Coturnix japonica: one gene and its partners. The protein of the gene in region 5 interacts with the protein of the main gene of each other region in a biochemical or structural test. Links are inferred from orthologs where the notes say so. Each region holds a gene or a part of one and is shown on either strand. Other genes may lie near its edges.

Region 1 (3,500 bases), about 110 Mb from region 5:
AGTACATTACCTCACTTCCAGCGCACTGAATCATGACCTGGGACATGTAAATCACATTGCCAAGTGTTTTAATATCTTCTCCCTCCCAACAGCGAATTGCTTCTGTTAGTATTTGTAGTTCAAGTTCTTTCCGTTTTCGTACTTCTTGACATTGTGCCTAACAAATAAGAGGCAAAAATATTCTTTTGTATCAACTCTACCAACACAGAACAGGTTGAGGGTAGAAATACCACTATATATTTACCATTGTCATTGTAGTACACAGAAGACAGTACCTACATTTGCAGCATTTTCATATATTGCTACTACCAGTATTTCCCATAAAACTAGTCTAACTTAATAGTATTTCTTTCTTTAATAGACTAACTTCAATTAGAAATTGGTAGTCACATCCTTGTTTTTTAAATTACCCTTTCCATTTTTATACTTGTGACAAAAAACATCTAGGCCAAGCAGGAAGAAGTAATGCAGCTGTCTTGAATACATATAGCTACACGCAAAATATACTTGAATTACAAGAGACTCGTCAATTGTGCAAACAGAGTACACACAACCTTCTGCTCCTATTTCTGTTACACTTCCTGCCAATCTATTTCACTAACTGTACTCCCAACTTATCCCACTTGCTTTTCCCTCAAGAAGTGTTTCCTTTCATTTGTGAAGTGCTCAGACTCACAGATCCTCCAGCCTTTTCTGAACACAGACCACAGTAAAATTTCTGCTTTAAAATGTAAAAAACGGGAAGTGCCTCCATTGCTAACAGGAAACACAAAAGTTTACTGTAATTGAGAATGCAAGAAATACATCTGTTGCAGTTGTACTTCTTAAATTTAATAGTTGTATTCTTCAGAATTAAGATCTATTGTCCTTTAAACAGCAATATCAACTCATCTGTCCAAAACAGGCTTATTATCTTGATTATTTAAAGATCCCATATTCCCATCCTCATTTGCACTATCTGCACTATCACTTCTCCCCCAGCTCCAGCACAATTCCCCTAGAATGAATGCACCTTTGTACAATCTCAGAAATACACTCAAATGTTGTGGCCCTTCTTTAGGTCACAAGTGCAAACAGAAAGGAAAATGAAGCACAAATAAGAGCCTATTTGCTGTAACTCCCCAACAAGGTGCAGTTCTTAGCCCTGCCCACAAACTACATTAATCTCCAGAGTCCCAGAACTTTCAGCAAATTTTCTTATACAGGTGTGTACAAAAAAGTTTCACATTTTAAAACCAACAGGGATTAAACCAGAAAACATGATGCTGAAAATATACATGATCTATTTTTCATTCCTCTTACAGAAAGGTTTTTGAAGGCTGTCATGGATTTTTGAATATCTGGACGATCTGGATGGTAATCCTAAAAGCAAGGGAAAAAAAACATAGTAAAAAAAATCAGTTTTAGTAAAAATAATAATAAAAATGCTTAGAGGCTTAACTAAAAGCAAATCAACAATCCAATAAAATAAAAGCTGTTAGACCTATCTGTTCTCTTTCCATAACCTTCCAATTCAACATACTGGTGGTCTTCCTCTTGGTAAAAGTGAAATAGGAATGTTGTAGTTGACTCTTTTGCTTAAAAAAGTGTCAAGGAAATTTTACATGTCCTTCTGGACACATAAAATTGCTTACCAACTTGAACTCCTAATACAAAGTGCATATTTTTAAGGGTTTTATTTGGCTTGTTGTCTTTCATTGTAAATACATCACACTCCCTAGATACAAAATGTCAGGCTGTCATTGACTGACAAACCATGTGACTCAGAGTACAGTTTCTAGTTCTCTTTCTCCTTCACAGCTAAGAAATCTAGCCTATAAGATGAAAATGCAGAGACAGTTGATCTTCAAACATCTTCCCACGGTGGAAAGATCATTTCTGGACAGTGTTCAGTAGAAGTCAAGATGATGCATCCAACAGGTTGAAATCCTAACATGAAAAGCAAAACTCCTACAAGATAAAGTTGCCTCAAGTTGTGTGTACAGTAGACCAAAAAAACCCAAAAACAAAACACAAACATCAAGTCTGCAAGACTCTTCTAGGGGTGAAGGTTGGCTTCTCTGTCTAGCTCTACTGTAAACATTTAGCTTTCTCAGGAAGTCTTATTGCACCACCTTCTGAAATATTGCAGCCCATATCTTGGAAGGCTGAAGAAAAAGGAAACAAAGGTAATTTGGGGTCCCATCATGTTTGACATGTACCTTTAAAATAACTGATGTCAAATCATCATTAAGCTGGAACATAAATGCTGATAAGATATACCTCCATGTGCCTTTCAAGCTCTTTGAGTAACGTGGGGTATTTATCCAGACGCATAAAAGGTTTGCTGAGGCCTGTGGTCAGGACAAGGATCCCAGGGCTGTTGGCACCTTTCACCTCCATGAATTCTCCTAGCTCCTCACTGCACACACAAGATATTTAAGCAAAGTAAGATCAAGTTACTAAGAATATTAAAGTTAAATTAGATTCTTCAGTCATTCACACGCCATGAATTCTGCCAATAAAAGGTTAATTCCAATTAATTAAAAAAGAATAATTCAAGAATTTAAGTACAACTTAAGAGATGTCATCATTTTGTTCTTGCTTAACGCAGAGACATCTATCAATCTGGGTTCCACCATACATTCAGGAGGCAGAGATAGGATTTCACTCACCATTCTAGGGGACTGATGCTCAGAGATAGCTCTTAAACGTCACTACACTCAAGGAAAAGTTGAAGAATAAAGCCATTTGCACAGTATTTCATTACTTACCTCTTTATTCTAAGAAAACGACATCTGAACTTAGAAGTGGTTTATGTACATAATGGCCAGGCATAAGCTAGTAAATGGCTCTATACTGAATCAAGTGCTGAATCAAACACTGCTGTTTTTAATGCAGCAAACACTAATGTGAAAGCAGAGAGTAAGAACCTTCTTCCTAACACATTTCAGTGTTTCATGACCTATCACACATCCAAGGTTCTAGTGCAATTTTGGTCATTTGATTAATTAATCAGCAGCCACACAAATGGTAGATGATATCAGGTACTGGCATGCAGTCTATCCTCATGAGCTACAGTTTCAAGGTAGGTATAATTACATAACACTTCTTGACATCAGCATTAGTTCAAGAAACCAACACTCTCCAAACATCATGAATTGATATTTCCTCTACCCATAGCTTTTCATATTTGGATCAACTGACTTGCAGCACATCCCTTCCAGTTGTTACACAAATTCTCATGTTGCTTTGCTACCTTTTAATGGAATTAAAGTTCACTCTGCTATCAGTGAAGCTTACGTTATCTACGTTCTCTGCTTCCTTATACAGCAGAGATTTCAGAGAAATAAGGTAGAGGACAAGTTGCTACTGGTCATCCAAACACAAAAAAAAAGAAGTAAAAAAATAAATCAGCCTTCTCCTTCAGAAAGGAAGGTACAGCAGCACCTGAGCTTATCCCCAGGCTTGAGAAAACACACATTGCAGAAGTACACAAACGTCTGAATACAAGATCTAGT
Region 2 (4,077 bases), on a different chromosome or scaffold from region 5:
ATTTATCTTGGCTCACAAGCTTTCTCTTCCCATTTTTCCTCCCTACCCACTGAGAAGAGACCAAGAGCAAGCCGTTGGGTAGGTGCCTGGTTCTTTGTCAAGGCTAACCCATGATCATATCTGTACAACAAAGAATATAAACCCTATGTAACTCTAATATAAAACCCTCAAAATACTATTACAAGTATGTCTAAGCATTACTTGGTGTTTTTTTTTTCGAAACACAGCATACTTGAACAGGAACTATCCTGTCTCCACAAGACTGCATGCTGGTCATAATGACATTAACTTTATGTGCTTGATGTTCAGCCTACCCTATTTATGAAGATCATTTTACATATATGGGTTTCAATTCAGAGAAGCCATGCAACAATATAAAAATCTTTTTTTTTTTCACATTTTCAAGTCAGGCTTGAGAAACACATTTTCCAAAACAAAATTCTTGTTAGTCAAAGTTAAGCACAAGAGATTTTTAAAGAATAAAATAATAATTCACAAAATTATTCCAGTTATTCTCTCAGCATTTATTTGAAATATCAATATTCCATGATACAGTTTATATATTAAGCAGTAGGGAATTGTCATCATTTCACATCATCCAGTACTGAAGTGGCACGTTCAAAGCAGCACATTAAACTTCTGAAAGAGAGTCTCTATAGTTTACATAAATAGAACTCTGGATTACTAAACTAACAGAACTTTTGCATCTGAAAGAAGGCTGAGAAGCTAGGCACAGCACTGTACACACCAAGTGCAGTAAGGAGGAAAAAAAAAGAGTGAACTAAACATATGGGGAAATGTTTTTGCATATACAGCCACATGTCTTTAATTGCTCAACACAAAAAGAAATAAGTTTTATTTAGTCCTCATTGAGGGCAGAATACACACAAATGATGTTCGAAGAACACATGGTAGACAGAAATAAAAGCAGGGAAGATAGTATTTTGGTTGGTTTTCCTCCACAGTGAATGAGTTTAAAAAGACTATCTGGTGCTTAAGCAGCATGATTTTGTGCCAAAACTTGACAACAAACAGTTAACACTAATAACAGTTTTATCCCCCATCTTGCCCTTCTACCGGCATTTTATTGAGCATGCTCAAAGTTTATGAAGGGCAAATTCATGTAGTTTGTGGTTCAAGCTCTTTACTATAGGAATCCCCTTTTTATGGTTCGAAGTTTACCTACAGATGGAAATAGGTCTTTTAATAACAATCAAAAATACAAAAATGAGCAGAGACCAGAAGGGCACGCAGTACAGTGGTTCGCTTTCTGAGAAACCAGAGCGTCTATATTTATACCGTCTCTGTGAGAATAGCAAGCCATTTTGGTCAGAAGATACAATTCTTGTTAGTCATGGTTAGACTCATGTGAACTGTATCATCAGGAAGGGAAAGATGGAATGGCAAGAACTTTTCCCTCTTTTTACAAAGAACTAAGACTGAAAAGTAATACAGTGGTGATAGGCATTATCTTCCCAGTACCACCTTCACTTCCTGCTACTTCACCATGAGTCACCTGTTTGGCTTGCCATCATCTTCCCAACATCATCTCAGCAGTACTCTGGTTACCACGAGGTCAGTGTGGCCAAGTGGTCTAACCCACACTATGTTGGCTCAGAAGATACCACGCATCACCACTACGCAGTATGACAACACATAAACCAAAGATGCTCAGTGGGACTTGACGATTCTAACCACTGCAGTTTGCACTTGTAAGGTGTAAGAAGCAGCATTTTGAAAGCAGTGGTACTGACATTACTATCTGGAACAGAGGTGGTGGATCAGCTATCTTAATTGGGTAAAGGAACTAGAATATCGACATAATTGATGGGGAAGAATCCTGACTGGCCATGAAGCATCCCTTCATACCAGTTTTCATCAATCTGGTTAGTGAGGGTAATGATATCACCCTCTTTAAATCCCAGCTCTCCTTCATTTTCTGGTTCAAAGTCATACAGAGCTCGGCAGCATGGCTGATCCATGTGAGCACCTATGGATAAGAAAGAGAAAGAAATAACATTTTAAAATCTCAGCAGTTATGCTATCATTTTAAACTTTTTACTTCATTTAAATTTTGCTGTTTCCCGTGTATTTCATATGGCGATGGCAGTCCTCTGACAGCATCTAAATCTAGGCAGCTAAACTGTATTAGAAGATAGTTAGCAACTTTTGGAAATTGAGAATACTAAAAGATCTAAATTACATTCAAGCCTACACTTAAAAGAATAACTACTACCAGTCTGGGATCTAATTTTTATCTGTTTACAAAACACAAAAAATGAAGCAAAAGCCCAAACATAGTTCCAGTTTTACTGGCACAGAAATGCTTTGCCTGTGTCTCAAGGAAATAGCAAAATGATATCTTAAAACAGCAATGAAAATAAAACTGTGTCTTTATTTGAAATCTTCATTGGTACAACTATTGTGTAAACTGTCCTATATGCTCCTGACCTCATGAATTTTTGTACAAGCTTTCCAAAGAAAACCTTCTTATTCCCATGAAACAACTGATGATTAGATCAGCATCAGAATTGTTTTGGCACAGTCTGAAATGGAAATCTTTCTAATATGATATTTCATGAATATCTAACCATAAATCATTTAGCATGGTTAATGGGTATTATTATAATTATTAGATTAGATTTTAATTGGTCATATGAAATCTAGAAATATTATTTCCTCCTTGTGCTCATATCCTTCCCTCAATCCCCAAAGATTCTATAGAGTTAAGCCTACCAAAAGCAGTTCATAGTCAAAATATTTAAGATTTATCAGCATTTATTAAACTTATATCCCTATCTGATTTTCCGTTGTTAATGTCTGTGCACTTCTACTGGTCAGAATGAAATGACACATGCATCTAAATCGTGCCAATTCTGGGAATATGTTTGTTTCAGCTTTTTTACATGTACCAGTTCCAGGATGAACTGATTTCACATTCAGACTTTTTAAATATTCATTTGAACTGCTCCCCATAGCTAGAAGATCCATGCTTGAGCTATTTTAGGATAAGAATATTCCTTTTCTATAGATGTCAGTAGAGCAGGATTTAGTGAAAAGAGGAAATCTTTGAATGAATTAACACAAATCTACATTAAGGAATTTTAAAAGAAGATGTTTCTGTAAAAATAATGAGCCCCTCAAAAGAAAGAACTCCTACTGACGAAAATGTTACATATTGCTCTCTGAGAGAGACAGGAATATCAGTTTGTACAATCTCATCACAAAGAAGTGTTCACAACACCACAAAAATATGAGTGAAGAAGGAAATTGTGGTGGTGTGACATGGAGATTTTTACTGTACAGGACTGAAGCTACACTCGTGCACAAGGAATCCCCAATTTAACCCCCATTCTTTGTGTGCATAATCACAAAATTCCTAGTTTACAAGACCATTTCCACTTGCCAAACAAAGATAAGGTTGCCGCATATATCTGGGAGAATTTTAAACATTCACACTGGGATACTATGAGAAGGAAGAAAATCTGATCCAGTGAAAAGCATTTAATCTTGCAACATAGAGTGTGCAAGCCATTGTCATTGAGGTCAGTTGGAATAGTTGAGGTCAGGGTCTGGGAAGAGGACAACTGTCATGATAATACATATTAGCAGACTGTTACTGTGATGAACAAAAGATAAAGCTTTCATAGTACATGCTGATAGGAAATAAAATACATCTTGAAGATACTAATGATGTACAGTCATGTAAATGTTTCACCTTGTTTATGCTGCTCACCATTGAACAGACATCATACCTCATTTGCCGCTGTTTCTGGTTTTAGTGATATTTAATTTCAAGTCATACGTACCATAATGCCTGTTTTTTAAAAAGTAGGGTTTGGGGATTACTGAGATTTTCAGTGTTGCAGAGTTCTGTATTTCATTGAAAACCTGCAGTCGATCTCTGAGTTTTCTAAATGCCTGTTCTATGATCTGTATTTCAAGAGGAGTTCAGTATGGCAGCAAGTCTTTATAGCTCTAGCACTAAGGACATTTTTGACCCAAAAATGGATGATCCATCTATGTTTTTCTGCCTGAAGAAATTAGTGTTTTACGAAAAATTCTGTACTATGCTTT
Region 3 (3,610 bases), on a different chromosome or scaffold from region 5:
GCCACCTCTGCTTCTCTTACAGCATCCAGGCTCCACAGGCAGTGGAGAAAGCCAGGCTTGCCAAGGACACTGCTTCACGGCCTCTGTTCCTTCCAGACCCTGCTCGGGTCCAGGTGGGGCCAGAGCAGGACCGTGACCATCTCTATCACCCTTCGGACAGGGCTGAGGTGGAGCCTGAACCCCAGTTCCACAGAGCACGCATGGTTCTGTCGGCAGAGGTGGAAAATGGTCCCTCAGAGGACCGTGACCACCTGTACCACAGCTAAGGGAGGCTGCAGCCCTGCCCCCACCATGAGCCCCCAATAAACCTCTCCTTGTTGAGCAGCAGGTGGGTGCTTGGTTTCTGACAGGAACAGGGGGGTCCAGCAGGCCAGGGGACTCAGCCAGTCACCCCAGCTCCCATTCAGCCCATGGGAAGGCCTGGCTCTTTTAAAGGCTCTCAGCCATCTCCAGTGCTTTTCAATGTGGAGGCTCCTAACAACAATGATGATGCACCAGCAGCACCAGGAAAGCCTTTTAATAGCAGTAACGAGCCAAAACCCTACTGGGGATCATGTCCAGTGTGGGCATCATTCCATGCCAAGCGCTGGCTCCCTCTGCAGTGCCAATGGGCCCATCCTTCGTTTTGAGGCACATGGGTGGTAAAGGGCAGACAAGGGCAATCAGTGTCCGCAGGTTCTGCAGCTCAGCTGTCAGTGAATTTGGCCTTGCGCTTCTCCACAAACGCAGTCATCCCCTCCTTGCGGTCGTCCTGGTGGCAGAGAATGGGTTGGGGCGGCCCACAGCCCCACTCTCCCTGTGTGTCCAGGGCCAGCCCTGTACTCACGGTGGCAAAAGTGGCATAGAAGAGGCGCTTCTCCGTCCTGTTCCCCTCTGTCAGTGTTGTTTCGAAAGCTGGAGATGGAGAAAAGATAGGGATGAGGAGATGGGAACACTGTTCAATCTGGACCCCAAATCCCTGAGTTCACCCCGTACCAGCATTGACAGACTCCTTGGCCATAGCTACCACCAGCTTGGAGTTGGCAGCGATCTTCTCAGCGCAGCCAATGGCTGCATCCACCAGCTTGTCCGGGGGAAAGACTTTGCTGACCAGACCTGGGGGCAAGCAGGGAGGTGATATGGGGACCCCCATTGTGCCCCCAGCCTCACCCACACCCCTACCTACCTGCCACCTTGGCCTCCGCTGCTGAGATCCGCTCCCCAGTCAGAACCATCTCCATGGCCAGTGATTTGCCCACCGCCCTGGTCAGCCTCTGCGTCCCCCCAGCACCTGGGGATGGGGTGTTGGGTTTGGGAGCAGGCACGTGGCCGTCACCAGCCCACCGGGGACACACAGCCCCCACGCTCACCTGGGATTGTCCCCAGCAGGATCTCAGGCTGCCCAAACTGTGCCTTCTCCCCAGCATAGATGATGTCGCACATCATGGCCAGTTCACAGCCGCCACCCAGCTGCAAGCACAACGGGTTATGGCACAGCGGCAGCACAGATACGGGGACATGGGGACACGGAAGGGGCACTCACGGCGAAGCCATTAACGGCAGCGATGGTGGGCTTGCGGACAGTGGCCACCCGGTCCCAGCCCGCCAGGAAGCCGCTGCCATAGCACTCCTGGAAGGTTTTGTTCTGCATCTCTTTAATGTCAGCGCCGGCTGCAGGGGGGAAGGCACGGGGTCACCAAAGGGCTGCGTGGGGATGCGGAGGTGGGGCGGTGGGACCGCGGGGTGCCGGAGCCGTACCTGCAAACGCCTTCTCACTGCCGGTGATGACAACAGCTCCCACCTGCCCGTCGGCCTCGAAGGCGTCCAGCGCCCGCCCCAGCTCCTCCATCAGCCCCGCACACAGCGCGTTCAGCGCCTCGGGCCGGTGCAGCCGGATGAGCCCCACGCTGCCGCCCGTCCCGACCTTCTGCACCTGCACGAAGCGGAACGGGGCCCCTGCGCGGCCATTGCGGGCCGACCTTCACCCGTGTGTCCGCGCCGGGCGGTGCCGGCTCCCGGTTCCCCCGCTCGGTGCCGCTGTTCTGACCGCGGCCCGCTCCCGCTGCCCGTCCCCGGCTCCCGGTGCCCCCCGCCCCGCAGCTCCCCCGTCCCGTCTCCCCCCGCTCACCGTGGCTGTACCCCCGCCCCGCCACGTGGGGGCGCAGTGCGTTCAGCAGCGCGCGGTGCCGCGCGGTACCGGCGCAAACAGCGGAGCCGAGCAGGGCGCGCAGCGGGGCCGCCATGTCTCTGCGCGGACACTGCCCGCCCTCCCCGCGGCCTCGCTCCGCCCCGCGCCCATCGCCGCGCTGTGCCGCGCCCCGCACTGCGGATCGGCCATTGGCACACGCGGGACCCGCCCCGCCGCTCCACACGCGTGTCCGCGCTTCACGTCGCCCGCGGGCGCGCGGCCCCGTGCCCACAGCGCGGAGCGGACGGGAGCGGAGCAGGAGCGTGAACCGGGGCTGCACGGCGGGGACGAGACCAGCCCACGCGGGACGTGGGAGCGGGAGGCGGCGGGGGCAGCTGTGCCGTGAGGTGCGTTGGGTTGTGCACGGGTGTGCAGGGGCTGCGCACAGCGCGGGGTGCGTGCGGACGTGCAATGCGTGCAGCGGGATGCGGCACGTGTGAGCGGGACGGACAGCATCACACTTGTCTGTGCAACCCGGTGTCAGTGCATGTGGCACGTGTGTTGAAGTGTGTGACACACGTGCCGTCCATGTATCAGTGTGTGTAATACATGTATCAGTGCATACAACATACATGTGTGGTCCGTGTATTATGCAACATATGTAACGTGTGTGTTGGCATATAGGGCAGACGTGCAGACCATGTGCTTGTGCACCTCATGTGCCGGGGAATGTAACACACATTGTGGTGCATGTGACGCGTGTAATCCATGTGTCAGTGCAATCTACATGCGTGTTGTGAATGTGGCACACGTGTAGTCCCCGTGTTGGTGCATGTAGCACAACACATGCAGGCTGTGACCATGCATCCCACACACAGGTGCATGTGCAAGGCATAAGGAGACCTCGTTGCTGCCCGCGTACCTGTACAGCCCGTGTTGGTGCACGTGACGTCTGCAGCCCATGCACGATGTGACTGCTCACACCCCACATACGTGTGTGCACGCAGTGAGGTGGGCACCTGCCCACAGCACAGCCCCCCTGTGTGCAGGTCGGCGGGATGAGGCGGCGCGTGGCCTGCTGCTGGGTGCTGCTGCTGCTTGCTGCCACCTTCTGCCAGCCAGCTGCCTCCAAGGGCGGGCGTGGGGGCTCCCGGGGGGCTGCACGCGGCATGGCACGGGGGGCTGCCCGCAGCCGCCACAGGGGCCTGCCACGCTACGGCGGGGCTCTGCGTGTGGCTGCGGCGGCGGCGGCAGCTGGGGCGGCGGCTGGAGCTGCACTGCACCAGGCCCGGGCAGAGATGGAGTACCACGAGGGCAACGGGACGGCCTGGACGTCGGCGGCACCGGGACGGATGGAATGGGGCTGGGCCGTGCCCTGGTTCTGTCCCCTCGCTGCCATCCTGCACCACTGATGGCGCCCACTGGGTTCCTCAGCGATTCGACAGTGACGTGGAAATAAAGCTGGGCGACGCTGCGTGTGGATGGATGTGGCCCAAGCAAGGG
Region 4 (4,145 bases), about 81 Mb from region 5:
TGGCAAAGTCAACAAGATAAGTTACACAAATATTAAGAAGAAACTGTAACAGATAAAAACAAATATCAAAAAATGGGAAGAAAGCACTCACAGTTTTTGACATTGATAACTGTGAGTTAATTTCATTTGTAATGTCAACTGTGCTAGCAAGTCCCATGGCTAGACCTGTATCGGATCATAGCAGCTCCAAATATCACATTAACTAAGGTACAGATTGAGACACAGGCAAGAGAGCACTAGCTCACACAGCCGGTTCAGCACAAACTATGGCCTGATTTCTAAGCACTTAACTTGCAGGATACAGGGTCAGCCAGGTGCCTCACAAAGAGGCAATGCCACAGCTAAGGAGTGCATCAGGCATACAAACAATTACAGATACCAAAGGTAGGGTAGGGAATGCATCTCCAATCCCACTTCAGAACTCCCACTTCTAACCTTCAGCCTTGCTGTAGGAGGGAACATGTTGCCGGCTCAGCCCACTCTACCCTATCTGGGCCAGAGCACCCTACGGGGAGACAACAACCCACCTGTGAGCCCTGTAAGGCTGCAGGCAATGCATTACAACCTCACACTGGGCACCAATTTTCAACAAAAATTGATCCATTCAAAAGAAGTACATCCACAGTACTCAAGCTTTCCACAAGATTCAAGAATCACAGAATCACAGAATGACCCGGGTTGGAAGGGACCTCAAGGGTCATGTAGTTCCAACCCCCCTGCCTGGCAGGGCCACCAAACATACACATTTACTAGATCAGGTTGCCCAGAAGAAGCCTAGGAACTCTTGGCAACCTGGTGCTCAGGCCTTTGTACTGAAGAATACAAACCAAAGTATATTTTTAGACCCTGTCTGTAGGTTTAAAGGATCTTTTCTGCACTTCCTGTTTTAGAGCCCTCCTTCGACTCTGACTTGAAAAAACACAAGCATTTGATGCATTTAGCACTGAAAGCACATAAAAATGACTATGCAATACAAGACATCTTGCTCAAAACATTGACTGACTTTATTATGAGATGATCTAACACACAATGTATGGTGATAGGTTAAAAACACAGGTGCAACATAGATTTAAAAACAAAAAAAAAACCCATCTAAGTCATAATACAAAGTGAGATAAACAAACTAAGATGATGCACCATTTAAGAATACAGCACTTTGTAATAAGTGCACCACAGATTTTGCTTTTTAATGAGTCATTGTGTACTCAAAGGCAGACGATTGCTCAGAACCAAAGATAAGCAGACGCTGGCAGATATTGGAAGAATATTTTGTATACATGGCAATACATATTCATGATGAAAATCTAATTAAATGTGTAAAATTCTCTTTCCAACAGATAAAGATACGAAACATTTCTTCCATTTAAATCAAAAGGATCTCCATTAGCAAATAAAAACCAGAATTGCTGCTTCTTCCTTATCTGTCATAAATAAAAACAGCTTCCACAACGTCAAGGTTGCCAGTTTTTTCATTGTATTTATCAAAACATAGTGACTTACAGAGGACAGCCACGGCTCCAGATTCAAACATGAGACATTCTTCTCTGTTTCTGGCTTCCACTATCACGCTGAACGGGAGCGGATCCAGCTTGTGATAGACACGATATCCTTTACTGAAAGCCATTTTGCCTTTATCGCTGGCAGTCCTGTCCAACACAAGATGATGTTAGTGAGAGCTTCCTGTGCTTCCAGATACCTTCTGCAGAACAGGTCTGACTTCCATTCTTTCCTAAGAATTTTACAGATCTAACAACAAAAAAGAGAAAAAGAAGAAAAGAGATGCTCACTCTTTCTAGTTCATGAGATTTACTTTATGTTTCAAAACAAATATATCTAAAGATAGCTTAAAGACAACATGCCAGCATTGCAAAAACATAATTGCCCAGAGCAGCACAAAGGATTTATTTAAGATCTCCTCCAGAACAACCAGAATTTCTTTTGCAATACCTAAACCAGACTCAGAGAAACTGGAGATGAGGTTCTCCTTTAGTCGCCACAAACACATTAGAGCAGCAGCAACCTTCTGCTGAACACAGAGGGCCAGGAGCTTCAGTTTTACGATGCCTTTTGCTCATGCTGACCTTGTATAAAAGGACACTACATTTCAAACAGTAAAGCTGCTAAGAGGCTTTGGAATAACATACAGAGACGATAACCTACTGCTTGGTTTCTCTTTATAAACGAACGCGGAGCTCCGTCTGGACTTAAGCCCTCCCTCGCAGCGGCTGACGATTAGAAAATCGCAGCACCGCACGAGAGAGACCGCTGACAAGCCATAAAGGTAACACCTTCCTTCGGAGCAATGAAAAAAAGCAATACCAAACCACAAAACACCAGCAGCCCACCGATATATCAGGGGCTGAAGGAATGCACAGAGCATAGAGGAGCGGCTAGAAAGCAGCGAACATGCTCCATTCCCGCAGCCCCACGCCGGTAACCTGAGGGCTGACAGCGGCACCGACCTTCCGCCCCCTCATACGACACAGGCAGGAGCGGCCGGCCAAGGAGCCGGCACCGGTCGAGCAGCCCCCGCCCCTCCACCTGCCCGGCGCCCGCGGCGCTGACAGAGCCTCCATCTTGTCTGGCGCCCGCGGCGCCCCCGCAGCCCGACACCCGCCACGGCGACAGCCGAGCGGGCTCCTCCCGTACCGACAGCCGCCCGCGGTGCCGCCGACCCGCCCCAATACCGGCCCCGCAGCTCCTCACCGGCCGCCACAGCTGCCGCCCGCTGCGCTCCCTGCCGCGGGAGCCGGCGGCACCTCACTTCCGCTCCGGCCCCTCCGTCCCTTCCGCATTGCGCCGCCCGCCACCGGAAGGCACGGGGAGGCGGCGGAGCCATGGTGGATGTTATGGCCGTGCTACCTTGGGGCGGTGAGGAGGGGGATGTGTGTCAGGACGGGGCTGGAGCCGAGCCCTTAGGGACAAGTATCCAGCAGGTTGAAGGAGGTGATCCTCCCCCTCTCCTCCCCCTCTGCTCTGCCTCATCTGGAATATTGTGTCCAGTTCTGGGCTCCCCAGTACAAAAAAGACAGGGATCTCTTGGAAAGAGTCCAGCGGAGGGCCACTAAGATGGTGAAGGGCCTGGAGCATCTCCCCTATGAGGAGAGACTTAGGGAACTGGGTCTGTTTAGCCTTGAGAAAAGAAGGCTGAGAGGGGACTTGATCCAGGTTTATAAATACCTGAGGTGTGGGAGCCATAGTGGCGAGGCTGGTCTCTTTTCAGTAGTGCGTGGGGACAGGACTAGGGGTAATGGGATGAAAGTACAGCATAGGAAGTTCCGCACGAATGTGCGGAAGAACTTCTTTACAGTGAGGGTGACGGAGCACTGGAACAGGCTGCCCAGGGAGGTGGTGGAGTCTCCTTCTCTGGAGATATTCAAGACCCGCCTGGACGCCTACCTGTGTGACGTGGTGTAGGGAGCCTGCTTTGGCAGGGGGGTTGGACTCGATGATCTCTAGAGGTCCCTTCCAACCCCTACAATTCTGTGATTCTGTGAAGTAGTACCCCTGCCCATTAAGCTGACTCTCTTGAAGGTAGGGAGGTCTTACAGAGAGACCTTGACAAATGGGAGGGCTGGGCAGTCACTGACTGCGTGGAGCTGAACAAGAGGAAATGCCAGAGGTACTTGGCAAGGTGTCACTAAAATCTTAAGGCAGAAAATAAGACAGTGCTCGAGAGCTTTGTTGAAATTTAGGCTATGAAAAGATGGGTTTACATATGTATGAAAAATATCACACTGAGTCTTGGAGATACATCTGTTATATGATACATTTCTGTTATGAAAACAGAATCACAGAATTACAGAATTATCAAGGTTGGAAAAGACCTAGAAGATCATATAGTTCAACCATTACCAATACTTCCCGGCTAAACCATATTCATCAACACAACATCCACATGTTTATTGAACACTCCCATGGTCGGTGACTCCACCACCTCCCTGGGCAGTGCATTCCAATGCCTGACTACCTTAGACATTTAAATATGTGCATGAAGCACAAAAGTGGAGTCAATGGGACAGGTCACATATATGAAGAAAAACAAACTTACCTCATGGTTTGGAGCAGAGACTTAAGTGGTCGGCTCTTGGATTATTAAGTGTGTTTATTGTTGTAGGCGTTAGTGAGGACTCTGTCTGCGATGA
Region 5 (3,500 bases):
TTCCATAAATAATTTAGACACTTTGTGAAAGGAGGTACAAGGTGCCTGCCTAGAACTTCATCAAAAATGAATTAAGCATTAAACATGGCCCTCAAATGCTTTGAGTGTTCGAACTTCCATAAGAAAGTAATTACATTTCTGACACATAAAAATGCCACAATGCATTGGTATGTAACTTCTTCAAGAAACTAAGAAGCCAATTGGGAAAAAGACAATTGTTTCCCATTTCCCCTCACAAAACAACTTATTCAGCACCTGTAGGGAATAAAAAGCCTGACTGATTGCTTGCTAATACCAAAGGTCAAAGCAGGTGTCCAGGAAGGAACTCAGGCTACAGGAAACAAGAACAGAATCCTTGGCTGTGTCACTCTTCTTGCTAGATTTATTCTCTTCTGTTTTCCGCTGTCACCGCTGTGTCACCAGACTGTGGAGACTCTTTCGTAAGCAAATGCCCTTTTCCCCTTAACTTGTCTGGAGACATTACAGATTAGAAGGAATGTGATCTTAAAAATTCTTTTATTTATCTATTGTCCTCTGTTAACATGAGATGCACTATGTTCATACAGTGAATGTTGTCCTCTTACTTCTAATCAGAGCTTCTCTCTGTGACTTTTAGATGTCATTTTTTATTTTCCCATATATATGTAGTAAAGCAGTATTTTCTCCTATGCTTTTTCTTTTGCAGGAAAACATGCATACATTAATTCTGAAAGAATTAGTCCCATCTATTTTTCAGAAGCCACTTTAGTCAATAAGAGTGTTCTTATTCCTTGCTGCTGCTACAGTTGGGCTAATATACGCAGCTTACATCTGAGTTGCAATATTGTTTACACTTTATGTGGATAAATCAATACATTTAATATTATTATTCCTAATTGTGCAGATCAGAGATCAACCGGTGGTTGGCCAGCTAATTCCTGACAGCTATCTGGAGCTGGAGAAGAGAATTTTGCTGGAAAGAAAAAATGTCCCGGTTGAATTTCCTGTGATTGATCAGAAACGATTACTAGAAATGGTACAAGAAAACAAGTTACAACTGGATGAAAATGAGCTCCCTCATGCAATTCACTTTCTGAATGAATCAGGTAAAATATGATCTTCAGTGGATGTTTTATTTGCAATTTGTTGCAAATGTGCAGCAGATGAGACTTGTATGGATCAAGGTTTACCCATTGTGTTGAACTGAAATGCTGCCCGTGGGTAAAATATTGCAGTTTGATAATCCTCATCAAGAAATTTCATGATAAAAAGCATCACTCTTATAACATCTTATGTGTCTTGTCACTCCTGGGAAGTATCACCCTGCTTGTTAGGCTGCAAAGTGCCTGAAGAAAGATACAATTGTTGAGACAGCTTGAACAGAATGGCAGGTAACAGCTTGTATCAGCACTATACAGAATTAAATATGAAATAATTAACAACATAGAGCAAAACCGCTTCACCAAAAATGCCCAAGTCAGATAACAAACCTAACAAAACATCTGAAAATAGAGGTAAAGCTGAACAAACCGTGATTTTCTACTCTCTCAAGATACTGATGCAGATGCAATAACTGAATTTAGTGTTCAAACTGATTGTATCAAGTCACATAGGGAAGACAGCCCGGAGTGAGGTGGTTATGTTGCTTAATAGGGAGCATAAGGAATGTGTTGCTAATTACAGTGTGTTTTGTGCAGGTGTACTGCTTCATTTTCAGGACCCAGCACTACAGCTAAGAGATCTGTACTTCGTAGATCCTAAGTGGCTGTGTAAAATCATGGCACAGGTCAGTCTCTGATTATGTTTTATATCTACATTCATGAAACTTTTTCCCCTGTACCAAGCCACTGTCATTTACCAATGATTCTTTTTCACTATTTCTTTACAGTTTCATTATTTAGTATTTCTTTGTGTTTCAAATTACCCATTTCTTTCTGTTTTCTTTGCGTTCTAGACAGCTGCCTGTCTCAGTTATTCCTTTTCTTATGTAATGTGGAACATCATTTAATTGGCACCAGGCACAGGAATACCCATAGAGTAAAAAAACCTCAGGGATGCACACTTATCCCACAATATTGTGATAGGTGAAGAAAAAAGCAGAAGCTCTGTATTGAAGTAGTGATAATGGGTGAGGAATGGTCACTGTATGCTTGTACTAGTGATGTAGGAAAGTCAATGATACAGAATCCTGTATTAGGACAGAAAAGAAATGGCTTGTCTGCTTAAGTGAATTTGTACTTGATATCTTGATTTAGAAACGCCACTTTTTGATAAATATTCACATAACCTGACCTGAAAATTTACCTTTCATTCACTGAATGAAATGGAATGCAAAAATACAAGACTGTTGTCTCCTTGCTGGTTCACATTATGGAAGTCATTGGTTTCATTGTGACATGGAGTCTAATTTTCCTCACAAATAATAGACTACCAGATATTTCAGGGACAACATTAGTAAGGAAAATACGATGTAACGATGACTGTACGCCTCAAATTGTTTTCCTTTTTTTGAAAGATTTTGACTGTGAAAGTAGAAGGCTTTTCTAAGTATCCTAAGGGAATTGTTAAGCGCTCAGACGTGGAAAAATTCCTGTTAAAGAAGAGCAAGTTTCCTAAGGTCTACATGTCACAATACTTCAAACTTCTGGAGAAGTTTCAGATTGCTTTGCCATTAGGAGAGGACCAACTACTAATCCCAAGCAGGTAAGCAAAGACCCACAAATGTGCCATAGAGAGAGATCAAAATAAAAACCTCCCATCGGTCTTTCTAGCTTAACTCATCAACAGAGCAATTTGGCATTTGAAAGCGTATTATGTACTTATTATTTAGTAAATGCTTTCAGAGACATGTTAAATTGATCCTGTAGCAGATAAAGCTTTCATCTTTGAATAATAAAATGCTTTATGAGGAAAGTACTTCTTTAATAGTTACCGTGCTCCACAACAGGAAGATTATAATTTAGCCTCACATTATGGTCTGCTGACATTACAGATATTTATTGCAAGGTAAATTAAAACCATGATTTCTTATGACTTATTTGCTTGAAGTCAGAACCTGTGAAGGTATTCAGAGGCAGAATCTCTCCAAAACAGCACGGTGATTAAATGCAACCAAAAAGATGTTCTGAATGTGGCAGGTAATGGTTTCTCTACCTCAGGTGCAGATTTCACTAATGTGTTAAATAGTGCTTGTTTTTCTTAATGAAGAAATTATTTGTGAGGTTGTGATGAGTTTGGATTATAGCAGAAATTTACTTTATCACAAACAAACAGAATAAGACAATACACTGTCTGCGGCTGGATTCCTTGTGTTATTTGTTCATTAATGAATGCATTTTACATCGTTAAATAATGTATGCCATCAATAAGTTTGGATAAAGTACATCATTAAACAAGGTACAATATTTTTTTTCTTTCAGTTTGTCTGATCACAGACCTGTTATAGAGCTTCCTCACTGTGAAAATTCAGAAATTATCATCAGACTTTATGAGATGCCATACTTTCCTATGGGATTTTGGTC
Region 6 (4,272 bases), on a different chromosome or scaffold from region 5:
TTCAGACCATCAAAATCAAATAGGTGTTTGACTACATATATTTATGATGTTGGCCCATGCTGTCAGAAGTGGACGTTGGTGGTATGGCATTTTGCTGCCATATGACAGATGGCAGCAGAGGGGCAATCGGAGCGAATGGAAGATGCGTATGAAGTGCGTATGAAGCAAAGACGTGTCACTGAGTTCCTCCATGTGGAAAAAATGCCCCCCTGTTGGTATGTAGTGACACTTGCTGAACGTTTATGGACAGCAAACATTGGCTGTGAGCACAGTGAGGCGGTGGGTGGTGTGTTTCAGTAGTGCTGACAGCAGGTCTTCTTTGCTGGTGCAGTTTGTTACAAGTACGGCATGCATGCCAAAAGGTTGGACACCCATGTCATAGCAGGTGCCTTAAACCAGCATCCTAATTCCATTCAGCATCATCCCCTGCCACCTCAGTTAGCTTCAAGGATTCTTTCTGAGGTGTGATACAAAACACAGTGGTGTTTAAAAATATCACAGTGTTCAGAGTAGCAGTACCTCCATTTTTCTGTACTTTGCCATGATCTGCACAGTCCAGATGATGTTTGAGCTTGATGACAGAACTGCTGACAGTATATACAGACATTTCCCTATTAGAAAATACCTGAACATCACAGGGGGAATTTAAAATGAGTTTTCAAGTCAGACTATTGCAAGAAATGGGAATACTGTTGCTTTAATAGTTCCCCAGCCAGTTCTTTCTTGCTTTTAGGGTCATAAAAGGCTGCTGCAGACCTGACTGTGATCCTTCTTCCAGTAGCTTTTCACTGTCGCAGAATCCCTTCCTACAACGGCAGGGGCTGGAATTACCAAGATTGAATGTAATTATGTGCTGTTGTTTTCTATCCCCCTTGCATTAAAAGACACACAAATTGTGATCAGTGACCTGTGTGACTCAGCTCTGGAACAACTGGAAGGCCCAGCCTGTGGATGCAGAACACAGAGGGGAAAGAAAAAAAGAGTAAGAGAACCAAAAAATACAAGTCCTTTAGTAGATTACGATGATATTTTGAATGCTTTATTTCAGTACCACAGTGTAGCTCCATCCCTTTCTCTTTGGGTGACACTTTGGGCAGCATCTCGCACACAGCGATGGTGCACTGCCATCAGCTGTTTGCTCCTGGGATCTACCTCAGCTCAGAGAGAAATAAAACAAACGAACAAAAAAAAAAATAAATCACAAAAGCTGAGCGGCCCAAGACTTTATTCCTTAAATAAAACTCTCAGTCCATGCAACAACCACCGCAGGGCCTGGCCCGGGCCGTCCCTCTGGTTGCAGCAGTTGATACGGATCTCTGGGATCCGTCGCTTTATTCACCCCGCTCCATCCCGCCCCGCCGCCATTTTCCGTCTCCTCAGGGCGGAGCCCATAGCAACCGCCAGCCGGATGGCGCCCGCCGGGCAGCGTCCAATCAGGAGGCGGCGCTGCCCCCCTCCCTCCCCCCGGCGCCGGAAGGGGCGTGTCCTGGAGGCCGGAAGCGGGGCCGCAGCTCCGCAGGGTGTGTGTGTGCGTGCGCCCAGCGGCCGCCGCGCTCCGTTCGCTTCTTCCGTCGGGATCCAGCCGCGCTCCGCGCCGCCCCCCGCCAGGTGAGGGTCTGCGGCCGCCCGCCCCTCGCTCGAGGCCGGGCCGCGACGCCGCGGTCCCGCTGGAGCCCGGGGAGCGGGCAGGGGAGGCCTGCAGCTCCCGACCCGCCGCCTGGGGGGAGGTGGAGGCCGCGGCGGGAGGGCCCCGCGCCGTGCGGAACCGGCCGCGCCGCTTCGTCCCCACCCGATCGCCGAGTAACGGTGCGACCCTCCCGCGGGGGCGGACGCTGCGGGGCGGCTTCTGGCCCGGCCACACCCGCCTGAGTCACCGCGCTCCGCGGGGCGAGGCCGCGCACACCTGGACCGAGCCGCGGGCCCGCGCCCTCTGTCGCCGCCCGTGAAGGGCTCGGCCCGGGCGGGGGGAGGAGGCGATCCGCCCCCAGGGCAGGGCCCGGCACGGCTGGCGGCCCCCTCCATCTCCTCCTCCTCCTCCTCCTCCTCCTCCTCCCGAGGGCTCCTCCCTTCACGACCCTCTCCATGCTCCGGGCCTTCTCGCGGCGCTCACAAAGCCCGGAGCTCTTACGAGGCGCCTGCTGTAGGGCCCATCCGTGTGAGCCCGCTCAGGTTTAGGAGAGGTGATGAGATGAAACGTCTGCGGTGCTTCAGAAGATGTTACACCGATGGTGTTATTTTTAATCTTAAATTATTCTTATCTGGGGATAGAGATGAGTTTAGGGAGGACTGCAAAGCTGACTTCACGCTATCCCCAATATATAAGAAGGTTGGGTTAGTCACCTAGAACTAACAACTTTAGGCCTTTATGAGGTATGTATAATTAGATATTAATTGGAATGATAACAAGTGGGATGCAGTCGCTATGTTAGCACGTAGGGCAAAAATGTATCTCATGCTGCCATTGCAGTATCATTCAGTTACTTAGTTAAATTCCTTGCCAACCGTTAAAATAACTTTATGGGGTAGGAAGAAAAACTGTTTATCACTCAGGGTTGTAGAAGCAGAAGAATACAAAAGAATTTTAAGGTTGTGTAGCATTCCTGGTTATGGGAATACTTGTGTCTTCACACATGCGCTGCTGCAGGACCTCAGGCAGAAGTTGTAGTACTTGTATTTAAAGAGTAGCTTGCATTGTTTGAAGGCAATATGGAGATGCAAATCGGTCTAGAAAAGGAAAGAAAAGAACGTGAGTGTTTTCTTCACTCTTGATATTAAAAACCTGCAAAAATATAGTTTATGTAATAGTTGGTTTATTAAATTGGTACCAGTGGAGTGGTAGACTCAGTGCACAGATGGGCCCGGTGCAGTTTTCTCAACCTCATTATGTCAGTACTGCATGTTCTGATCTCTGCTATTTTGATAGAGTCCTTTTTTTTTGTAAGCAGCCCTTTGCTGGTATGCAGCTTTTTGTGCTGTATGTGAATAAACTCCAATAAGGAGGAGTTAAGTCAATAGTTATTTGAATAACGGGATGAGAAGCTTGTACTGCAGCCTGTCTGGTGTCCTCATAAATCCCAGCAGGACTAGGCCTTATTTTAATGGCTTTTATATGACCACACTTTTTGCTCTACGCTGTAATATAAATGTTTTCAGATTGTTATTAACAAGTGATTTACCTGTGATACAGATACATTCGTTTGTCATTAATTTTATGCCTGGGGGGAGATTTTTTGTGGGATAACTCGACTATTTGCACTTGGACTCGGGCTAAAGGCGCATTCACTGGAACAAGGTGTTACCACGTAAGTATGTTGTACTTTGGAACCACGTGCTTGTCTCCACCCGCAGCTGTCCTGCGTGAAGTGCCATAGGTATGGAGCAGTGCAATGCTTCTCAGCCTCCAGTTCCTCATCAGAAGTCAATAGGGACAGTAAGGCTGCGGTCACTAAACTCAACTTGTCCATACAGTGTCAGTTTCCATCCCTGCTCTTGTTACTTCTGATAGAAGATCCCATGGTTATTTGCAGAGATTGAAAGCCTTTGTACCATTTTTCCAAATGATAGGGAAAATCAGTTTGAGGAAAGAGCAATTAATGGTGGCAGAAAGCTGCCCAGCAAATTGAGGCATGACTTTATAGAATGTTAATGTGATCTTAACGTTTGCGGAATGATTAGCACCGAAGGCCGGGATGTATTTCTAATCAGCAGGTACAGAGGAGGTTGGTGTTGTGTGCTGCACAAGGTCAGTGAGAATATCACAGCTGTGAAACCCATTTTTCTTTTCCCTTCCTTAAACATGCAGTATATTGTACTGAACTTTTGTCATAGCCAAGCTCAGGGTGGCTGCAGAAGACTTCAGTGTTGTGATTGTATCAGACGTCCATTTTCTGATCAGTTTTTCAACAATAGATGGTTGCCTTGGAGGGAACTGAAATAGAGAGACACAACGAAGTGAAATGGCTGAGGTAAAGCAAAGAAGGTTCATCGCACTCCATTTATGGAAGGGCAATTCCTTTCATGCAGAAAATACTGACCGAGCGATGCCCGCTTGATGGTGGCTGCCATCAGTATCACACAGGTTCTGCCAGCATTGTAGCTCTGCTGTCAGCGTGTGTGCACCTGAATGATGGCTTTGCCATTTGTTTCAGGAATAAAAGCTGTTAGTCTCAATAATTACAGAAATAGAATGGAACGTACCTCACAGACATGTTTAATTTTGTAATTCATTGCCTATCCACAAACCTGTAAGGTACATCCATGTGTTGGTAGTTG
Region 7 (3,336 bases), on a different chromosome or scaffold from region 5:
GGTTGGAGGCTGGGGGGGCTCCATCCCCACCCCGGGGTCCACAGACCCTTTAAGGGGCGACCCCCAGCTCCTTTGGGCTGCAATGAATGGACGACGGGACCACCTCCCATTGAAGCCAATAGAAGCTCAAAGCCTTTGTCATCCCATAGTTAGGACAAGAGCAGCCAATTGGGGTCACCCCATAGCTGTCTGTGCCCCATAAGGTGCCTTAATTCCAACCTTGTGACTCTTTAGGTATGGTTTGAAGCAGCCCTATGTATGTAAAACCACTCAGCCCTATCCAACAAAGACTGTGCGATATCATTAACCTTAATAAATCCATTAATAAATCCATTTAAAAGGCTGTGCTCACCAAAAAGAACCAGAATATAAGCTCAAATAAAGCAGGATGGACCCACCCTGAGCCAGCCCTGCCCACATGGAAATGATGGATTCACTGAGATCCCCCCCCCAGCCCCAGGATTAGAGACAGGGAGGAGCTTCTTTATTGACACACAGAAGCCGTTTCCCAAAGCTCTGGTTTATTTCAATGGGATGAACCTGGAGGAATGGGTGGCACCGATCCCGGGCCGGCCGTGCTTCACCGGCTTGTAGGTGATGGAGAACTCGCCCAGGTAGTGACCGATCATCTCGGGCTGGAAGTGAAGGAGAAACAGGGGTTAAAGGGGGTGAAAGGGGGTTTAATAGGGGGGTGGGGGGCAGCCCTGCTAACAAAGCACAGCACAGAGCACAGCTCACCCAGCAGGATCTGCTCACTGTGCTTTAAGTCACCTTTAACACCGCAAACAAAACCCTCATAGACAATGCCATTCAATACAGGCAGCGCTATCGGGTGGCACCGTGTTATTCCACACCTAGAAACAGCTCAGATTCCCCCCACCCCCGTTAAAGGGGTTACACGAAGCTCACCTTGATCTCCACCTGGTTGAAGGTCTTGCCGTTGTAGACGCCCACCATGCTGCCCACCATCTCGGGGAGGATGATCATATCACGCAGGTGGGTCTTCACCACTTCGGGTTTCTCCATGGGAGGCGCTTCCTTTTTAGCCTTACGAAGGCGCTTCAGCAGGGAGTGCTGCTTTCGGCGCAGCCCCCGGTTCAGGCGGCGGCGCTGACGGGCGCTATAGAGCTGCATCAGCTGCTCACTACAAGGGACGGACGCGTTGAGGCTGCAAGGCCTGACGGTGCTGCCCACCGAGGCCTCCACTGGACCCAGCGAGGCCTCATTGGACCCAGCGAGGCCTCACTGGACCCACTGACGCCTCCAATGGACCCACTGAGGCTTCATTGGACCCACCGAAGCCTCAATGGACCCACTGAAGCCTCATTGGACCCAGCGAGGCCCCCATTGGACCTAGTGAGGCCTCATTGGACCAACCGAGGCCTCATTGGACCCACCTAGGCCTCAATGGACCCAGCAAGGCCTCCATTGGACCCAGTGAGGCCCCTATTAGACCCACCGAGGCCTCCATTGGACCCACCGAAGCCTCACTGGACCCAGCGAGGCCTCATTGGACCCAGCGAAGCTTCAATAGACCCACCGAAGCCTCACTGGACCCACCTAGGCCTCCATTGGACCCATTGAGGCCTCATTGGTCCCAGCGAGGCCCCCTTCCCCCCGCACTCACTATGACATGTCGAGCAGCTGGTCCAGGTCCACTCCCCTGTATGTGAACTTGCGGAAAGTTCGCTTCTTTTTCTGCTCCACTTCAGCCTGTAGCCGGGATGGGGTGGAAGGGACGCGGCCGTTAGAAGCACACGGCCGCCATGTTGGCCTCAAACACCGCCGCCTCCATCAGCACCCGGGGCCTGGCGGCCTTCAAGGCCCCATCTCCTCCCGGCCTTAACTCCTCCGGGCTCCATCTCCTCCATGCTGCAAGGACCGCCCGCCCTCCGCCCTCCATCCCCCCGTAGGGAAGATGCCGCATCTCCCTCGGCCGCAGCGGAGCCCCTGGAGGCCGCACCGGCTGCGGATGGAGCCCGATTAGAACCGCCGCCCCCCCCGGCCCGCACCCACCATCTTCGCCTGCTCTGCGAGGAAAGGGAAGCCGGAAGTGAGAGATCTCGCGAGAGCGACTGCGGCCGGAAGTGGAACCAATGCCCGCCCCGCGCAGCACTTCCGCCCTTAGTGCTCTTAAAGGGGCCGCGCCCGAAAAATCCAGAGATAGGGATTGTTAATCAGAGATAAGGGATTGTTATCAGTGATAAGCTGGAACCCCCCCGTTATCACACTGCAGGACTCAGCGGGGAGTCTGACTGCACACAGGGCAGCTGCAGCCGTGTCTGAGCTCAGTCCAATGCAGGTGGCAGCCAATGCAGCCCTTTGGTGTCTATATAAGCCCAGCAGTGCCATGCAGCTCCTCATACAATGGCTGCAGCCCAATCGATTCCTCATGGATCCATAAGAAAGCTCGTAATTAAAATAATTAAAAATAAAATGGAGACAGGCTTGTGTTTCTAATCCAAATGTACTTGTCTTTATTCAAACCAGGGCTGACAGCTGGTCAGCGCAGGACGCACCTCGAAAACCTTTTTTTTTTTGCCTGAGGGTTAAATCTACATCTTCACACAAGGCCTCGGTTCAAACCCCAAATCCTGAATGCAAAAACCCAACACAGGATCCCATAGAGAGGATTGAAGCTCAAGGCCTCGCTCCATTAAGTGACTCCGTGCACCAACAAAGCCTGCAACCAAACCTGCCTCTCATCCATTCAGCCCCTAAAAAGCCCCATTGGGTCGATAACAGATGCAAAAAGCAAAGCAACGCTCAGTAGATTTCATCTCTTAACTCCCCCGAGTTCCTCTCTGACCCCATCCGTCAGCATTGAGGGAGCTGCAGCTCAACCCTTCTGCTTCCCAATGGGAAAAAAACCCTGTTATTTTAAATTAAAAAATAAAGCCAGCATACATAGTAGAAAATTTCTCTTAAAAATTCTCACAATCTGTAAATGTATAATATATATAATTATTTTTTTTTATGGTTTTTTTTTTTTATCTTTTTCAACATAAAAGTTTACAATATACGGTCAAAAAAAAAAAAAAAAAAAAGGCTCAGGAAAAAAATAAACCCAAAAAAAAAAAAAAATTAACCCAAAACCTGAAGTTTGGAATTAAAGCTGAAGACATTTTTAAAACCCTGTTAAGTTTGAACCAGTGACATTTGCTTTATTTTGTGCTGATGGGTTTAAAGAAAAGGGGGAAAAAAAAAAAGAAAAAAAAAAAGAGTTAAAAACTGCAGTCCGAACACCCACAGCTTTGCCTTCAGAAGCCGCCTTCCCCCCCCCCCCCCTCCCTTATATCCCCCCCCCCATCAAAAAAAAACCACCTTTGTCTTCCA

The links.
Region 1: of the proteins of LRRK2 (region 5) and ARHGEF7, one has a biochemical effect on the other in vitro, tested with the Homo sapiens proteins (2 studies listed by BioGRID and IntAct). The link is inferred for Coturnix japonica from reciprocal best matches to the Homo sapiens genes LRRK2 and ARHGEF7.
Region 2: of the proteins of LRRK2 (region 5) and SH3GL2, one has a biochemical effect on the other in vitro, tested with the Homo sapiens proteins (2 studies listed by BioGRID and IntAct). The link is inferred for Coturnix japonica from reciprocal best matches to the Homo sapiens genes LRRK2 and SH3GL2.
Region 3: the proteins of LRRK2 (region 5) and ECHS1 interact on a protein array, tested with the Homo sapiens proteins (2 studies listed by BioGRID and IntAct, with this or other methods). The link is inferred for Coturnix japonica from reciprocal best matches to the Homo sapiens genes LRRK2 and ECHS1.
Region 4: of the proteins of LRRK2 (region 5) and SYNJ1, one has a biochemical effect on the other in vitro, tested with the Homo sapiens proteins (2 studies listed by BioGRID). The link is inferred for Coturnix japonica from reciprocal best matches to the Homo sapiens genes LRRK2 and SYNJ1.
Region 6: the proteins of LRRK2 (region 5) and YWHAB interact on a protein array, tested with the Homo sapiens proteins (2 studies listed by BioGRID and IntAct, with this or other methods). The link is inferred for Coturnix japonica from reciprocal best matches to the Homo sapiens genes LRRK2 and YWHAB.
Region 7: of the proteins of LRRK2 (region 5) and RPS15, one has a biochemical effect on the other in vitro, tested with the Homo sapiens proteins (2 studies listed by IntAct). The link is inferred for Coturnix japonica from reciprocal best matches to the Homo sapiens genes LRRK2 and RPS15.

Annotation. Positions count from the first base shown.
Region 1 is NC_029516.1:125,581,325-125,584,824, reverse strand, and holds part of ARHGEF7 (rho guanine nucleotide exchange factor 7), read right to left. Parts: intron 2,402-3,500; coding exon 2,263-2,401; intron 1,363-2,262; coding exon 1,303-1,362; intron 158-1,302; coding exon 11-157; intron 1-10. UniProt on the Homo sapiens protein: Acts as a RAC1 guanine nucleotide exchange factor (GEF) and can induce membrane ruffling. Functions in cell migration, attachment and cell spreading. Promotes targeting of RAC1 to focal adhesions. May function as a positive regulator of apoptosis.
Region 2 is NC_029547.1:29,795,310-29,799,386, reverse strand, and holds the end of SH3GL2 (endophilin-A1), read right to left. Parts: intron 1,991-4,077; coding exon 1,791-1,990; 3' UTR 501-1,790; downstream 1-500. UniProt on the Homo sapiens protein: Implicated in synaptic vesicle endocytosis. May recruit other proteins to membranes with high curvature. Required for BDNF-dependent dendrite outgrowth.
Region 3 is NC_029521.1:5,960,970-5,964,579, reverse strand, and holds ECHS1 (enoyl-CoA hydratase, mitochondrial), read right to left. Parts: upstream 2,249-3,610; 5' UTR 2,223-2,248; coding exon 2,108-2,222; intron 1,936-2,107; coding exon 1,738-1,935; intron 1,651-1,737; coding exon 1,523-1,650; intron 1,450-1,522; coding exon 1,350-1,449; intron 1,271-1,349; coding exon 1,166-1,270; intron 1,096-1,165; coding exon 976-1,095; intron 895-975; coding exon 827-894; intron 752-826; coding exon 686-751; 3' UTR 501-685; downstream 1-500. UniProt on the Homo sapiens protein: Converts unsaturated trans-2-enoyl-CoA species ((2E)-enoyl-CoA) to the corresponding (3S)-3hydroxyacyl-CoA species through addition of a water molecule to the double bond.
Region 4 is NC_029516.1:94,512,719-94,516,863, forward strand, and holds the start of SYNJ1 (synaptojanin-1), read right to left. Parts: upstream 2,801-4,145; 5' UTR 2,796-2,800; coding exon 2,707-2,795; intron 1,647-2,706; coding exon 1,501-1,646; intron 1-1,500. UniProt on the Homo sapiens protein: Phosphatase that acts on various phosphoinositides, including phosphatidylinositol 4-phosphate, phosphatidylinositol (4,5)-bisphosphate and phosphatidylinositol (3,4,5)-trisphosphate. Has a role in clathrin-mediated endocytosis.
Region 5 is NC_029516.1:13,471,402-13,474,901, reverse strand, and holds part of LRRK2 (leucine-rich repeat serine/threonine-protein kinase 2), read left to right. Parts: intron 1-883; coding exon 884-1,085; intron 1,086-1,676; coding exon 1,677-1,765; intron 1,766-2,494; coding exon 2,495-2,682; intron 2,683-3,398; coding exon 3,399-3,500. UniProt on the Homo sapiens protein: Serine/threonine-protein kinase which phosphorylates a broad range of proteins involved in multiple processes such as neuronal plasticity, innate immunity, autophagy, and vesicle trafficking.
Region 6 is NC_029535.1:4,611,370-4,615,641, reverse strand, and holds the start of YWHAB (14-3-3 protein beta/alpha), read left to right. Parts: upstream 1-1,472; 5' UTR 1,473-1,608; intron 1,609-4,272. UniProt on the Homo sapiens protein: Adapter protein implicated in the regulation of a large spectrum of both general and specialized signaling pathways. Binds to a large number of partners, usually by recognition of a phosphoserine or phosphothreonine motif.
Region 7 is NC_029543.1:2,248,272-2,251,607, reverse strand, and holds RPS15 (40S ribosomal protein S15), read right to left. Parts: upstream 2,117-3,336; 5' UTR 2,020-2,116; coding exon 2,017-2,019; intron 1,714-2,016; coding exon 1,628-1,713; intron 1,145-1,627; coding exon 910-1,144; intron 636-909; coding exon 522-635; 3' UTR 501-521; downstream 1-500.